Mytilus edulis: one gene and its partner. The protein of the gene in region 1 interacts with the protein of each later gene in a pairwise test. Links are inferred from orthologs where the notes say so. Each region holds a gene or a part of one and is shown in the gene's direction. Other genes may lie near its edges. The genes, in order: cytoplasmic FMR1-interacting protein 2-like and nck-associated protein 1-like.

Region 1 (8,964 bases):
AATTGGTAATTTTCCGAGTTTAGTCACTGAGGTGTTTATCTATTCTTTTTAATACATTTAATTGTTTCTTTGGATGCTTTTTTACATATTATAGAGACATAAAATTGAGAATGGAAATGGGGAATGTGTCAAAGAGACAACAACCCGACCAAAATAAAAAAACACAACAGCAGAAGGTCACCAACAGGTCTTCAATGTAGCGAGAAATTCCCGCACCCGGAGGCGTCCTTCAGCTGGCCCCTAAACAAATATATACTAGTTCAGTGATAATGAACGCCATACTTATTTCCAAATTGTACACAAGAAACTAAAATTTAAATAATACAAGACTAACAAAGGCCAGAGGCTCCTGACTTGGGACAGGCGCAAAAAATGCGGCGGGGTTAAACATGTTTGTGAGATCTCAACCCTCCCCCTATACCTCTAACCAGTGTAGAAAAGTAAAAGCATAACAATACGCACATTAAAATTCAGTTCAAGAGAAGTCCGAGTCTGATGTCAGAAGATGTAACCAAAGAAAATAAACAAAATGACAATAATACATAAATAACAACAGACTAGTAAACCTTTTCAACATCTCTCGACATCGACTAATGACACCTACAGTTTACAGGTAAAATGGATGGGTCGTCTCAAAGACAAAAATCATCATGATTATCATCACGTAACATATTGGATTGGCGGTTTTATACTGTTTTGACTATTATAGTTTAAGAATATATATCAACCAAATAAATAAATAAATAAATATATGTATGGTGGCCGGATGCGGCCATTTATTTCGCCTTTTCGCGTTTTCGTGAATTCTCCGTTCATTTTGCAAACGCGAAATTGGGAATTCGAGAAATCGAGAAATTGAGAAAATCGGGAAATCGGAAAATCGAGAAATAGGGAATCCAGAAATTGGAAATATATAAGATCGGGAAATCGAAAAATCGAGAAATCAAGAAGGCAAAAACGCCAAAACACGAAAGAGGAAACACGAAAACGCTAAAACGCGAAATGAATTCTCAATTTTGCGTTTTTGCTTTCTCTATTTCTCGATTTCCCGATTACTCAATTTCTTGATTTCCCTTTCTCGATTTCTGGATTTTCCCGAAAGGGGAAACGTCTACCACACATATGTCTCTGTCATATAATATTCTTATTTCGTATGTATTTGCACGACATTTCATGTTGAATTGATTAAACAAATATTCCAATCATTCAGAATCCTAACCCATTTTCTCTTCACTTTTGTGATGATGTGAGTCTTTCGCCAAATATTTGCCGCATGCCAATAACGATTTAATTTGTTGGTGTAAAAGCTTTCATGATGTTTTTCAAAAATGAAAAAGAATACTGGTCCGTCCGTATCACACTTGTGAACACGCTCAACTTTGTGTTTTTCCACCGATCTTCACCTCAGTCGATGTACATTTTCAATTTTTACATAATTACATATTGATTTTTTAGGTCAAAGGAAAAGATCACGTTTTTTTTTATTATTATTATTATCAACGACGGTCTTCTCCGCTTCAAGATATCTTGTTCGAGGTAAAGTTTTTCCTAGATGAATTTTGAAAAAAAATATAAAAGACCCCTCGTTTCAATGCTACAACATTTAAGCAGTGACTGGTGAATACAGAATTCAAGTGGAACACCAAATTGGTGAATTGAAATGATACAAAGTATTGAGTACATTATTGAGGCATACAAGGCCAAAACTAACAGACATGTGCCGCCCTTGTAAACCAACATAATCATTGTTTAATTTTAAAATATCAACTACAATAGAACATGATTTGTTCTTTTCGTTTTCCAAATTCAACCAGGACAGCTAGAAGCTAAATGTCTAAAAGATGAAATGTGACTTAAAGTCTATCATTTTCTTTATAACAAATTAAAACAAAATCATGTCATTTGGACTCTGTATGAAAGTTTTATCATTGTCAATGATTGAAAGCAATAAAATTAATAATGATCTCATTTATTTTTTTATTTTTGAGACTACCCTTCACATTTTACCTGTCGTAGTCGTTCTCAACTGTAGGTGTCGAGAGATGTTAAAAAGGTCTACTAGCAGTTAACTGACATGCCAGCTCCAGACTTCAATTAAACTGACTGAAAGATTATGATGTTCATTGAAATTTAGTTTAAAACCTATTATTACACCTAGAAGTTTAACGTTATCTTCACATTCTATTTCATTACCTTCTAATTCAAATTTAGGTTTTTGTCTTTAGTTTTTTTACCTACAGGTATTGCTTGACATTTTTCTGGATTAGCTTTCATTTTATTTTATTGTATATTGAGAACCAATTTATCAAAATTTTTGCTTTCCACATCTTCTGAAGTATTAGCAAGGAATTGTATATTTAAATATACAATTCCTTGGTATTAGTTAATTTATCTAAATCTTTATCTGCATATGAAAGGGGGTTGTCATCTGCATGATTATAGAGTTCACTTTTATGAATAAAATAAAGAAATGTCATTTAAAATTTGAAAAATAATGTAGGCCTTAATATCGAACCTTGTGGCACCTTTTAAACATTGTTTGTCAGTAGCTTAAATTAGTACCTCCTTTAACACACTGTTTTCTGTTAGTTAAATAGCTTTCCAAAAGTTTAAGAGAGTAGGTGGAAACACCATAGGATTTAATATTAGTAGGAGGAGGTCATGGTGTAGGCAGTCAAAAGCCTTGGACAAGTCTATAAATAGACGTATTTACACTTGTATGCAAATTTGTCCGCCATTGCGTAAAATCACACAGGTTCCCGTAAACTTTGACATCATAATTTAAAATTATTTGACGTCACAATTTAAAAGTGATTGTTGCTCAACGTCAAAAGGTGATTCGGAGTAGATTTAAGGTCATTCGCGGAGGCAAGATTCAGCTAAATACCAAAAGTGTAAAAACGTTTATTTATATAGCTGAGAGTCAGCACTACATATTTATTCTGATCTTAAACCTTTTCCAATATTCAATTTAAGGTCTTTAGTTTCCTTTATCAAGAGTGTATTTTTTATGTAGAGTCGGTATTTCTTGTTCTTCTTTTAATTTATCTGGTAAAACAGCCGATTCAAATGATTTATTCAGTAGTTTAGAAATTGGATTGGATAATTCAAATAAGATAATTTTAGTACTTTTGAAGAGATAGATACCATCTTTTCCTGTTGCCTTAAATTTTTGTTACTTTTTTTTCAACAAAACTCAGAAATTTACTGTATGCACACCAGTGGCGGATCCAGGGGGGGGGGTTCCGGGGGTGCGCACCCCCCCTTTATTTTTGCCGATCAATGCATTTGTATCGGGACATATGTTTTGCACCCCCCCCTTTGCCCTGGGTGCCCTGGGTTAACACCCCCCCTTTCGAAAATTCCTGCATCCGCCCCTGCACACATGGAAAACTATTTGTTTCTAAATTAGAATGAGTAAAGAAATAATTGAAGTATTAAGTTATGATCAAATTATTAATGTTATTTTTACAGCGCCATGTCATTTGCATGAGTACAAATACGGTAATCGTTGCACTTCCGAATATGGTAGGGAAATTAGTTTTTCAATGGGAAATAAACTGACTACCTATTGTTCAAATCTCAAAGAAGATCAGTCAATAGCCGCAGGTAACCAGTCAGTTGCTTTTGTTCGCAGCGCCCCCTATGGTCAAGTAAATCCGGAAGTTATCAAAAATGATAAAAAATGAAAACTGACATTTCCTTATTATGTGAAGTTTAAAGGTAATTAATCGGATGAACGACATAAGCAAAACAGGGACATGTAAAACATTATTTATATAGATTGTGCACTTGCAGTCAAGTCGACATTTTGCATTCAAAAAGTAGTATCAAATATCAATCCTGTCGAACTCTAGCTCTTCCTCTTTTATAGTTTATAGGAGGAAGAGCGAGATTTTTCTTTGAGGAACAATATAATTTCGGGTAGGCTCACATGTATCTGTCACTGAACGTAACCGTTAGTAGGTTAATGCAAGGTAGGAACCAGATCTATGAGATCCAGATTAATTCTCAGATAGAATTGTTATAATTTCTCAAGGGCAACAAGGTAGATAATTTAGTGAAAGCTTAGCTAATTGAGTTACCCCCTTTAAATAAAGTCATTACTTACTTACTTCCTTACTTATTGTTGATGTTCTATTTTGGACAGGTCAGGAATAACCATCAATTGGTGGATTATACCTCAATTGACATATAATCCACCAATTGACATTAATGGTATAGACCAATACACCTTATCGCTAATCCTTGCCGACCCAGCCGCAGCTTTTAGACGCATACAACAATCACTTTTCCATTGTGGCGTCAGATATTTTGTATTGTGACGTCAAAATTTTACGGGAACCTGTGTGATATCTAGTAATGGCGGACAAATAGCGATAAGGTGTATTGGTGTATAATTCTTTGTTCTTCAAAACAAATTATTCTACCCAAATGAAGCATTGTTTTCTTGAAATCATATTATGGTATGAAAACTTGTCAAACATTCCTAGTTTAGTATATATAGTGACATAACATATTGCATTTAATCAATAATTGTATTTTCAGTTTCTTCTATTGTTACATGTACAAATGTATCTTGTCAATTCTTGATTGGCATATTTACCTGTAAAGTGTAATCACCTGTCAATACACCTTATCGCTATCTCCGGCTGACCCAGCCGCTTGAACTTTTGACGCACACAACAATCACTTTTCCATTGTCATGATTGTGGTGTCATATATTTTGTATTGTCATGTCAACATTTTACGGGAACCTGTGTGATATCCAGTAATGGCGGACAAATAGCGATAAGGTGTATGGACATCATTTACTGTCTGCAGTCATCATGGTCATGTGATCATGAGTACAACTCCTCAGGTGAATGGAGCTCTTTGTTCAGTCAGTTAAATCACTTATTTGAGTAGCAAATTCAAAGTTTTGTCACAAATTGTGATTTTGTAGTTTTACCAAAATTTTAAACCCATTATGTTTAAAAAATATCTTTTCATTAGTAAAATTGAAAAAAGTGAATTTTTGCTTCTTTTAAGTATCAAGGTTTATGCCTTTGATGCTATCATTTAGCTGCAAATTCTATTTTAGTTGAAAAAATGCTATAATAATGGCTTTACATAATGAACTGATACTTTCTTAACAGATTTTTCCCAGCAGTGGGAGTATTTTTCCTGTAAAGTTCAAGGTTTCATCTTTCAGATTATGTCATAAAATTTTACTGTTCACCATAAAAATTTCACTGTTCGGGGTGTTGAAATTAGTGGGGGTTATTAAAATAATGATTCTTAAAGGAGTGATTTTTGGGAAGGAAATTGAGGTATGATACTTAAACAAGTGAGTTTTATGTCATTATCCTCGATTCAGTACAAGGTCATCACCTGAAATGACCTAGTCATCCTAGACAACATGGATGTTAGTTCTGATAAGTTTAGAAACATAATTAGTCCCTGGACCATTAGTATTCTATATTTAAAGCTACAGTAAAATTAAATCACTTCTTCTAGTGATTATTTTGTACTACTTAAATAGGTGATTATTAAAGAAAGACAACTCTTACTTTCAACCTTTATGGAAATAATGTTACTTGAATCAGTGATTTAGAAAATCACTCATTTAAGTAAGTCCCCTGACTTGTTAATACTTGAATTCAATTATCAAAAGTCAATCATGGTCAATACATGTAGTACAAATGTTTCAACAAAAGAATTGTTGTACACATGCATTCTCAAGAGATGCAGAAGGCTTTGACAAAACTTAATTTGAAGGACTCAATAAGGGTCATAAAATAGGTTGCAAGTTGCAAAATCATGCTCCTATCTCACACTAGTATTTTATTACAAAAAATTTGCATTATACGTCAATTGGTCCTTACCAATTATAATATACCTTAATTGGTGGATTATACGTCAATTGAGGTATAATCCACCAATTGGTGGTTATTCCTGACCTGTTGGACGCCCCTATTTTTGGGTCTCATGAATTAGCGACAAGGTTGCATTACAATATAAAGTATATCATGTTGGCACCCTAAAAAAAGCAGGACAGACTGGTGATCCCAAACTGTATATACCCTTTTGCTTCTATGAAACTACAATGACACAAATGTATAAATTTTATTAAAATTCATATTTTTGAATCTCAATACCTCAGGTCAATGTACATTAATTTTATATCAAATGGACTATAAAATTTACTTGATTTAACCAAGTATTCAAATCAACCAAGTTCTACCCATCAGTGGTAAAAATGCATTGATCATACAGAATTTTACTAAGACTTTTAAATTAGTTCTACTCATTAGAGATTTTAGCACAAGCGAGTTCAACACAACAGGATGCATCTGTAATTCACAGTCAATTGGGCAAATACAATGTACTCAAATATCATGAATACAAAACTGTACTTAAGATCAGTTATTACATTTCAAAGATAATGAGTATTATTTCAATGCTACATTAACATGTTTGTTTCTTTTGTTCATAGTCATACTACCAGCAGGAGATATTTGATAAGAGGAAAACACACAAACTGATGACATTTATTGATATTCCTTCGATGTACATACATGTACAAAATGCATATCATGTATATGCTGAACTTGTAATGTTGCTAGTCAATTCGAAATTTTGACTTTTTCCTTGGTGTTAATTCAACATTTTCAACAAAATGATTTTCTAATCCTTAAATATTGTCAAATGTACTAAGTTACCATTAATTCATACTACTACTAGTACTGTAACTCCTACTTGAATTCTTCAAAACTCATTGCCTCACCTATCTCTGTTAATATATGATTATATGACGCTATCATCCCACACATTTAGAAATTAATTTTCTTCTTTTTAGCTTTGAAAAATGTCTGGAGACAAGATATCCCTGACCGACGCCCTACAGAATGTAGATGTACTGGATGAATTGCCTTTACCTGATCAACAACCTTGTATAGAAGGCCTGTCATTGTCCATCCATTACCAAGCTAACTTTGACACTAATTTTGAGGATAGAAATGCCTATGTCACTGGGGTTGCCAAGTATATAGAAGAGGCCACAGTTCATGCAGATTTGGTATGTACAATATATACATATGAAATTGAGAATGGAAATGGGGAATTTGTCAACGAAACAACAACCCGACCAAAGAGCAGACAACAGCAGAAGGCACCCAATGGGTCTCCAATGCAGCGAGAGACTCATGAACCAGAGACGTGCTTCAGCTGGCCCCTAAACAAAAATGTATACTAGTTCAGTGATAATGGACGTCATACTGAACTCTGAAATATACACAAGAAACTAAAATTTAAAATCATAATACAAGACTAACAAAGGCCAAAGGCTCCTGACTTGGGACAGGATCATATTTGAAGTGCAATAATGTGAACACTTTCAATCAGCACCAATAATGTTGATATAAATATTCTTTGAAAAAAGGCAAGCTCATCATTTATGAGGTTTGCCTAATCTATAATTCTCAGCGCTGTGAACTACTACCACCAAGACTGAAAATTATCTGAATTGTACTATAGATCAGCCTGATAAAGGTAACCAGAGTTGTTTTGAATTTTTGCCACTGTATAAACTTGATCATATATTTTTACAGAACAAGCTATTAGAGAAAGGGCAAGAGTTTGCTGCAATATTATACACATGGAGATGCTGTTCTAGAGCCTTACCACAGGTAAATAGAATAAATGATAACACATATACTGAACTTTAAGATTCAAGTATACATGTATATTAACAAATCAATTCCCATAGGGTAATGGAGGAGGGGCATTACATTTACTGGTCTGTCAATTCATTAGTAGTAAATTAGTCTGTCAGTCCCATTTTGGTTGACATAGATTGAAGCAACTGTAAGTCACTGTACAGCCTTCATGAATGAGAAAAACGTTGTCTTATACTATAGTAAGCTTTTTAAGTCCAGCATCACAAAATGTAAAATGATTCACTGAGAAAATAAACATGTTTATATCATCAAAACCTGATTTTATTCCAAAATCAGATCAGGGTCTCATTTCTAAAAAAAAAAGTATGGAAAACCATTGAGATCCATTCATCAATTTTTTTTTAATTTCCTTACAACAAATTTGACTAATAAACAAAAATCAGACCATTGTTTTTAACCTTGTTGGTCAGAAGCATGGAATAACCTTGCACTCTGATGCAAATTGAAGGGCATTAACTCTGAGGAATGATATGATCATATTTCAAACATGTATATAAATAAATATAAAAAGAGGGCCTGATTTAAGCAGTACCCTTAAAAGTTTTACTAGTTAGTGACCAATAAAACTACAGTATAAATTCTAATAGTTAAACAAGGAGATGTACATTGGCAATGTGATGACTATACACCAAACGCTGAGGATGTAAGCCATTATTATTGTTTAACTATAAATGAAGCTGTAAAAAAATACTTGTATTTCAGGTGAAAAGTAATGAACAACCTAACAGATCAGAGATTTACAATAAGATTGTGGAAGTCCTGGATCCACAAGTGTCAAAACTTATGGAATTTATGTATTTTGTGGTAATTATAAGAGCTGAAATAAGAAGTTTAAAGCATTGTCATAAGTTATTTTTTATAAGTATACTTGCAAACATAATATTTACATGTTATAATTTGGGAGGGGGGCTGCAAATGTTTTTTTAGATTTAAATAAAATATAACCTTACACATGATTTTCGTGTTGCCAATTAAAACATTGCTTGTAACTTCAGAACAAAAACAAAGTCTCATTTTAAAGATGATTGCATAATATTTTACATAATACATGTAGCTGTAACAATGACCTTGACATTTCAGATTTGGATAACACCACTTCCTGTAATTTTATCATAGTTTCTTATAGATATTATAAAGAAGTGTTATTCAAATAAATACTTTAGGCAATCAGTTAGAACATCTTTCAGGAAGTTACATTTACCTCATAATTAAAACGTTTAAATTCAAGCTTTCTTGAATCTCA
Region 2 (8,964 bases), on another chromosome or scaffold:
AAGTGATAAATAAAAAAACAAATCATATGAATAATAGTCCTATTTCAAGTCTGAAAGGATTTATAGTAAAAAATAACCGTTAATTCTGGCTATCTCCAAGGGTTTAAGAAAACATTAGGGATGTTTTTATAACATTTCATACTGTAAACTGTATATTGTGTATCACAAAACATTCATATCTAACATATGCAAGTGTTATTTTGATATGTTTTCATGTCTGTGACTTAAAAAGACCCATGCAATAACATAGTTTTGCATGGTTTTTTTTTATAAGGACCCATATAACAATATGTTTTACAAAATGAAAAATTACTGATATAACAATATGTTTTACTATTATTTTCTAGTGTGTGCATGGATTGAAAATTCCAGCAACGTGATTTAAAAAAGAGAATCTGTATGACGGTTTTATTACACGTGTCTATTCAAAATTGTAGTTTGCACAATGTTCCCGTGATGTCTTTTCAATGCCCGGGCCAGGTTCGGGTTTACTGTCACGTTGTGTTGTTGTTTTCTGCATCATTTGATGTGTAATTTTCCTTCTTGTAACTGCACATTACCAGAACTCTCTACAAGACAAAATATATAAATTGAAACTACAAAATATTACGCCATGATTTGACTGAGAGGTTGATTTAAAAAATAGGACTGATTAACGGGTCTGAAAAAAACCACCTCAGAACTGTAAGAACTTTGAACTTGAAATACACATGAAAACTATATATTTACAATATATATAAACTTCCGTTGTTTAGCTATAGAAACTGCCAGTTCAAGAAAGTCCTCAACGATTGAAGACACTATATATACAGTTAGTTGGGTCTTTGACTCAGCCTTCAAGATCTTCCTAGGCTGTTTTTTTTTATTAAGAAAATGTATTCACTGATAACATAAATTACAGACTTGTCACTATGTACATAAATTAAATCAAAAATGTCCATCATAAAACAAAGCAAATACTCAGAGGAGGGGCGTCGTCGAAAGTCCTTGAAAAATAGTTGATTGCATATTTTACCGTGACATGATCAAGTTTTCAGTATGATCAAGTTTTCAGTGTTTTGCCCATACTGGCATTTTCAAAAAGATGTTGATATCGGGTAATATACTATAAATATAATGAACATTGACAGGAATTTGTTATATGAGACAATATCTGAAAAAGTCTTATTTCAATGTCCCACACTTTACGAGCAATTATTTATTTATTCAGGCATCTTTTTGGAAAAATTTAAGTTACAGTATTAACTAGAGTATATAATGCACCAACTGCAACCAATTAAACATTTCTTCTAAATTTAAATGGTCAACCCCACCCCCCCCCCCCCCCCCCCACCCCAAAAAAAATCATGTTGTCCCCTGTTATTTTCTGAAAAATAAATCATTCAAAGAATATCTAAATTAAGAAAACAGCCTTCCGATTTTCACAAATCTGATAGATTATATAAAAAAACTTCTCCCTTACTGGTCTGGTTTTGTTATAACTAAAGCATGTAAGAAAATTTTACATTTTTAAGGGTGTTTTAAATGTTGTCCCGAGGGGTAATTTCCCTTCTGTTACCGCTTGGTTTTTTCCACCTGTGGACATGTTTGAAAGACCAAAAATTTATTTCTTGTAATGCAATGTGAGGAGCATCATTTCCTGAATGTATGACTCCATATGTTTAGGTGAAAAGCAACCAGTTTTAAAAAAAATCTGAACTCCCCAAAGATCAGAATTTGGAGAAAAATAATTTTGTTGTTCTCTCCTGTTACAACCTTTTTGTGTTCCTTCTGAGAATACTTCATTGTCAGCACTTTACCAGTACATGTGTTTTTAAAAAAAATCTGAACTCCCCAAAGATCAGAATTTGGAGAAAAATAATTTTGTTGTTCTCTCCTGTTACAACCTTTTTGTGTACCTTCTGAGAATATTTCATTGTCAGCACTTTACCAGTACCTGTGTTTTTATAGTATCTTATCAAATTGACATGTAGATGGAAGTAAACTTATACGCAATTCGAGTAAATGAACAAAAAGTACTGCGTAATTTCTTTCTGTTACGTTCTGTCATGTTACCTGATTGGAAGTAACAGCATAACCATAATCAGTAACAGGAAGGATGTTCAAGACAATTTCACTGATGAATCAAAAAGTTAATGTACTATATGCCATCTATGTCATTTAATAAGTTATCATCACCATATTAAATAAATTTCAAAATAATATACAGTATATTGAATGAAAAAATAGGTATTTAGCAGAACGTTGTGCAATTTTAGTATAGTAAATAGTAACAGAAAGGAATTTATTTTTTCATTACCTAGGCAGATTTTTCATCTTGCAAATACAGTTTCAAAGGATAAATGACATTGTTTGCTGTTATCTTCCAATTGTGACCAATCTGAAATGATGTATTTTTCTTAAACTATAAAAAGAAAAAGCATTTTTTTGAGAGAAAAAAATCCTTTCTGTTACCAACTCTGTCCTGTTACCGTTGTCCTGTTACTCAAGATACTTTCATGTTACCGACATATCTGACTATATTTTAGGATATTTCTAAACCTTTTGTATTGCAAATGCTAAAATCAATAATTGGCATTTGATAAACTATTGCAGGATATACCAGTAAACCACAAATAGTGTCTTTAACCTATTCCTTATTTCCATTAGAAACTTTTCAAAATTGAATCACTTTGGTAACAGGTAAGAACTGGATTTTTTTATACCATTTTTATTAATTGTTACCACATTTAACAATCGTTTGAATTACAGACAACAGTTCCTAGATCCACACTGATGTGTGTTCTTCGATTTCGGATCTAATAAAGATATTGCCAAAAATTAGACTTTTTCAGATATTGTCTCATATAATCTTTAATCTGAATTATCGCCCGTCAGAATGAATACTTTCTTATCTTTTTTAACTTCTTCTTCTTTGTATAAGCTTCCTATAGATAGAAACACCTCTAATAATATTAGAGTATATATGACGGTAATTTTGTGGATATTTTTTTTTTTTATAACTATGTACAGCACACTATGTATATGGTTTTTGGTTTTTTGTTGTTGTGACTTTTAGAGTTGTATATACATATATTGCTTTTTAACTTGTTTATTATCATAAGCTTATCTTATTTACATGTGACGATGATGTGTGTATCTTATTCATGTCAGTGACAATAAAATTACATAAATAATAAATGCTTCAGTAAATGGGAGTTTATGATGTTAAAAAAAGAAAAGAAGAAGCAGCAGCTTGGGCTTATATATTACATGAATTTAAAAAACTTGTTAAAATAACAAAATATTAGTCAATGCTTAAAATCTAAAACATATCTTTCATTTCATTTAGATATGATATCCTACTCTTCTCAGTATGATAAAAAATTATTTTTAAATTATATATTGAGTTTAAAATAATTATTTTGTGCCATATTTTCAGATATTTGTAATATTTAAGAATACAATGGATTACACTGTAAAAAAATAAAAATAAATCCTATTCAATTTACATAATAAAAAAATAGGATATTAAAATGAATAAAAAAAAAATTGACTAAAAGAAAAAAAACAAAGAAAACATTAAGATATGAGAGTTAAGACTTTATCTGATTCACTTGTTGTTTTAAAATTACTTTCACAATATCATGATCATTATATATTGTTGTTGTGATTGTACACGGGTGATTTTCACTTTCATGTTGATATTATTATCAGAATTTAAATGCCAGTTGTTTAACCAGGGGAGATAATCTCACTAACCACATGAGCCTCTTGTTTGTTATAACCGGAAGTGTCTTTTAAGGAAGTATACAATGGTTGAAGAATATCTAAACATCTCTTATTAGCGAAATTACCCTCATAAAACACAGAAAACATGTCTCGAGGAATGATGCCAAGCCAGCAGAAGCTGGCAGAAAAACTAACTATCATGAACGAGCGAGGTCGTGGAATGCTAACACGCATTTACAATATCAAAAAGGTTTGTTTTTGACAGTCAAAAATGCCATAGTCTGCATAGATCCTTTTTCTAAAATTGTGTAAATTTGGTAAAGAAGAAACAAGATTTTAAATTTAGTCAGTGTGTAAAATAGCTGAAGACCCTGTGTCTTTGATGTATTTTTAACTTTGGATTTAGAGTACACTGCCATGTAAATTATAAATGTTATCATCATACCATTACTAAATAGATAATTGTCCCACATGGGGTCAGATCAAGGATGATTTTTTTTCCCTTTTTCATGCACACAAATTTGACATGTACAAGTCACGATTCTAATAGACAACTTTCGAGTTCAACATGTTCAATGCATTTCCGTCAAAAACTGGTTTTAGTGAACGCCATTTGTGCATTTAGGGGTGTCGTCACTTCTTTTCCATTGTTGAGCTACTGGTTGGAAAACTATAATGCTATATTGTACGAATTAAAAGGCAAATTGAATTCTCATAATTGATAATCAGCACTACTGTCATTAGGGAATCCTAAATAAGTCCCTACAGAACAACCATTATTTCGAGTTTATCCTGCACAATGACAATCACTAAGACCCTGGATGTAAGTTATAGTGCAAGGATACAGGCAACCCCATCTATCTGGTCATAAAGCCATGCATAATTGGTAAGTTTTAAACAGTGACGGACAAACTGGAAATTAAAGTGGTCTATTAATAGCAATCCCAGGTCAAACCTAAGCTCAAATGAGACCCACTGACGAATTTGCCACAAATAAGCAGATTACTTTTCAGTACAACTAAGACTAAGTCTATGAGAAACAAACAAACAAAACTTAATGAATTTTCTCAGCTTAAAAGTATGAACTTCAAATTTACAAGAAATTTCTTGCACTTTTTTTTTGGGGGGGGGTATATGTCTATGGTAACAGATATAAATAACCTTAAAACATTTAACTAGACAACATGGACAATGAACATAAGACTGAGACCTATAAACAACTTTTGAATTTGTTGTAAATTTTCTTGCACAGTGCTATATATATATATACATAGCTAATGTCATAAAAAATTCATGACTCACCCATATTATTATTCATAATTTTTAAATCAAATAAACATTTTATTTTCCATCATACATTTTACCTGCATGCAGTTATTGATGACTTCATACACATGTAAATGTAGAGAATTAAATAACATAAAGGCAATAATAAATGTTTGTAAATGATGAAAAAGTGTAATTACACTTTAAAACGTAATTACACTTTAAAACATGCTTAAGAAAACAAGTGTTTTACAATGTATCATGTTTCACTTTACCCTATGCCATGTAGGCACTTGTTTTGTTAGATAGTAAAGTAGTAAACTACATTTTAGGAAGTATCAATAACTAACTGCTTTTAGATTAAAAATGAATGAATATGTGTAAATAATTATTGCTTAGATTAAAATACAATTAATTTAGTTTAGAAAAAAAACCCTGCTTTTCAGAACTTTCATATTTTTGGTATCATGGACAATATACATGATATACATGACAATTTATTCAAACATTGTGAGATTTGAAACAATGTATACAGATTTGTGTATTTAGGGGATACATTTTTTATGGGTGGGGTGGATGAGGAGGGTTTTTATAAATGGTATTCTGGCATAGTTCGAACTGAAAATAAACAACCTCCCCTGCAGAAAAAGAATGAAAATGAGTAGTGAACCTATCAACATCATTGAAGATGCAGAAAAATGAATGTGAATTAAAGAGAAAATAATTTTTACATGGCAAGATAGTGATCAAACAAAACTAAACTCACAAATGGTGAAAATGAATAAATCATATTCAGAAGGTTTTTCCAAATTCTTCATAAAATGTTAGTCAATAAATAGTTCAGGATTTTCATGATATTTTTTCAATGCTTTTGTTTATAATTTTCAGCTATTGAAAAAGAGCTTTTCAAATCACTGTTGCTTGCATGCTGAATTTACATGTAGTTCGTTTGATTAAACTTATTTGACATTTTGTTTTGGTTCTAGGCATTCAGTAAATATAAGGATGTAAGCAATAGTTGTTTGTGTTGAAAGATTTGTTTTTACGAATGCATGGTGTTTTGAAAGGCAAGGCTTTCGTCCATTTGTATGAAGTGCCAGCTTCTTTTGTATGTTTTATTCCCTTATTTTATCATGTTTTATATTCAGTTATGAAGATAGTGCATTCAATTTCATACTTAATTTTGAATGATAGGGAAATGCCCTGGACATGCTAGAACATCATGGTTGCAACTGGCTGGTTTATAACATGCAATTTTGTTGTCAATTTTTATAATCTAAAGAGAACTTTCAAGAAAAATGCACAGTGAAAATAATCTGCATACATTCATAAATTTTTTAACTATATATCTGACGGGATAGCTTTAACAGTTATATTGACAGTTGGTATTGAGCACAATTTTATGGAAAACATGTTGGCGGCATTGGCTGTATAGTGAATTTTTTTTGTTGTTGTTTGGATTTTACAATCAGTGTTTATCCCAGGGCTTTTTAACATCATGGTAATGTGATGCTATATTTCATGAATGAAATACCATCTGAATTGGTTTTCTTATAGATTATGTTATGGATGTACCGGGCCGTAATGCTTTAATTTTGGAAACAAGATAGTATTGCAAATTTCCCTGTTTACGAGGATGTCGAGGGAAAATACTGACAATGCAGGAAATCATTTCTCTCTGATTTAAAAAAAAAGTAACCTTCATTATATGTTTGTTTATCTTCCTGGTCTAAATCATTTTCAATGAATCTTCATGTACAGTATGTATTATTAGAAGAAAAAGTGATATTTGATCAAATCACCTTGTATGAACTGACTAGGCAAAAAAAAAAGTATGTGTGTTTACTGTACCCCTACATGTACCTACATTGTACCCTAAATTTTATCCCCTACCCTAAAGTTTTTTTTGGCCAATTTTTATTTAGCACTGTTAGAATCACAATATTGCTCCCATAGCTAGACTCAATGTGAAAGAAAAAAAGAAAGAAAGAAAATCCCTACAAAATATGTACCTTCGTGTACCTACCCTGTTTTATCAGCATGTGACAGTACAGTGTAAACACAAATACTTTTTTGTTTGGCCCTAAGCAAAGAGAGACTAACCCAGATGCTCAGGACCTTTCCTCTTTTGTCTGTTAATCAAGTTCTGCATACAAATGGTTTGCTGATATACTAACAGTTTGTTTTTCATCACATGACCTAACAGATGTCTGTAAGTAGATGGCGTTGTTGTCAGCATGTCTGTTTGCTATACTTTTTTTTTAATCTATTTGTAGCATTAGATTAAGTGATTTTTGTCTGTCATTGTTTTTTCTTTTTGTACATTAGTGTTATTTTTTTAGTCCCTGCAAAACTTGAAAGACATACAATGTATAAAAGACATGATTTAGACCTTTACGAAGATAAAAAAGAGTATGTACTTAAAATAAACAAAACAAAGCATTATCCTTCTCTTTTTTATGGAGGGTGGGGGTATTCTTTGTTTGACTTTTTAATTTTTTCGAATCAAGGTCCTTTATGCCATTAATCCTCTAGCTATACTGAAAGTGTGTAAATTTTCACTTACCTTAGCCATGTTAGCCATTTATTCTAAATTTGGTCTAAAGGGTATTTTCCTAACCTGGCTGTTTCAATGACCTTAAGACACCCTGATAGAACAGCCAAAACAGTAAAACAGCATTTGATATTTATAGATTATCGTTGATCATCTCAACGAGATTGATTTTCTCGCTTGAGCTGGTACAGCGAAAGTGAGAAAAGCAATCGAGTTGAGATGACCAATGATAATCTGTTTATCGCTATTTTACCTATGACGACGTTGTCAATTTCATGTCAATTTCGTAAGCAACGCCACGTGGTCTCCTTAGTTTTTAGCGATAATTTTTCCATCTCAAGCGAGAAGCATGATATGAAAATTATCACAAAAAAAAGATCAAAAGAAAAATGCACAAAATAGCGATAAACTGGTATATATAAATTAAGGATGTCAACTACCAGATACTAGACTTAGACAGTGCAAGACCAAGTGCAATTTCTTGTGGGAATGGTTAATGCAATGTGTTATCCTAATTAATTTGTTCAGTATCTTACTTTTTAAACTGTTTTCCAATCGAAGTAAAGTATTAATTTTTTTTTATGAAAAATTAAAATAAACTAAATTTTAGTTATCATGATTATAGAATAATATTTATTATTGAATTGTGATATTTCCATATTTTATACAGTATGTTTTCCATCAAATAAATTGAACTTAGCAGTACAAGTTTTTATTAGTTTTGAGAAATATTTGCACATTTTAATTTGAACTTTTTTGTCACTTTTATGCACACATTGTGTATGTACTATGTACACATTGTGTATATTACATGTATTATGCACACATTGTGTATGTACTATGAATTTGGAATTCCAACAAAGGGTATACCATGATGCACTAAATAAGTTAATGGGGAAAGGAGATCAACATCATGAACATATATAGAGAGACCCTTGCAGAATTTTAAGATTTAAAGCATGTACTGGAATAAAAAGATCTTTTGAATCATTTACATTATATATTTGAATATTTTGTACATGTACTGGAATTAAACATATTTTTTTTCCCTTGTATTAATATGTTTTTTTTCCTGTAAATATATAGAAGTCAAAGGATAATATATACAGTGTTGTCATTTTGTTTCAAATATCTTAGTAGTCTGGTGATTGGGCTTTAAATGTATGTATGTATGTATACATATACAAAGTCTATATGTGGATGTCATTTTTCGTTTATAATTTTTACTTTCTAAAAGCGTTAGTTGAAAACATTCTATTTTATTTTTTTCATTAGTTTACGTATGAATGTAAAATGTATCTCTGATATATACATATTGTATCTGCATCATACTTTCTATTCAATCAGTTGTTATTCTATTTTTGGATTTGAATAAAAGGGGGTGCATGTATAGAGGACCATTTCTTAAAATATATATAGATGTATCATTGATT

What was found.
Region 2: the proteins of cytoplasmic FMR1-interacting protein 2-like (region 1) and nck-associated protein 1-like interact in binary tests that used the Caenorhabditis elegans proteins (3 or more experiments, as listed by UniProt). The link is inferred for Mytilus edulis from reciprocal best matches to the Caenorhabditis elegans genes gex-2 and gex-3.

What each region holds. Positions count from the first base shown.
Region 1 is NC_092351.1:9,971,351-9,980,314, reverse strand, and holds the start of cytoplasmic FMR1-interacting protein 2-like, read left to right. Parts: upstream 1-3,539; 5' UTR 3,540-3,723; intron 3,724-6,841; 5' UTR 6,842-6,850; coding exon 6,851-7,060; intron 7,061-7,592; coding exon 7,593-7,670; intron 7,671-8,423; coding exon 8,424-8,525; intron 8,526-8,964. UniProt on the Caenorhabditis elegans protein: Required for initial steps of body morphogenesis. May play a role in egg laying and yolk protein clatherin-mediated endocytosis by oocytes during oogenesis.
Region 2 is NC_092350.1:74,780,716-74,789,679, reverse strand, and holds the start of nck-associated protein 1-like, read left to right. Parts: upstream 1-3,760; 5' UTR 3,761-3,856; coding exon 3,857-3,961; intron 3,962-8,964. UniProt on the Caenorhabditis elegans protein: Rac effector required for tissue morphogenesis, cell migrations and egg laying. May play a role in egg laying and in yolk protein clatherin-mediated endocytosis by oocytes during oogenesis.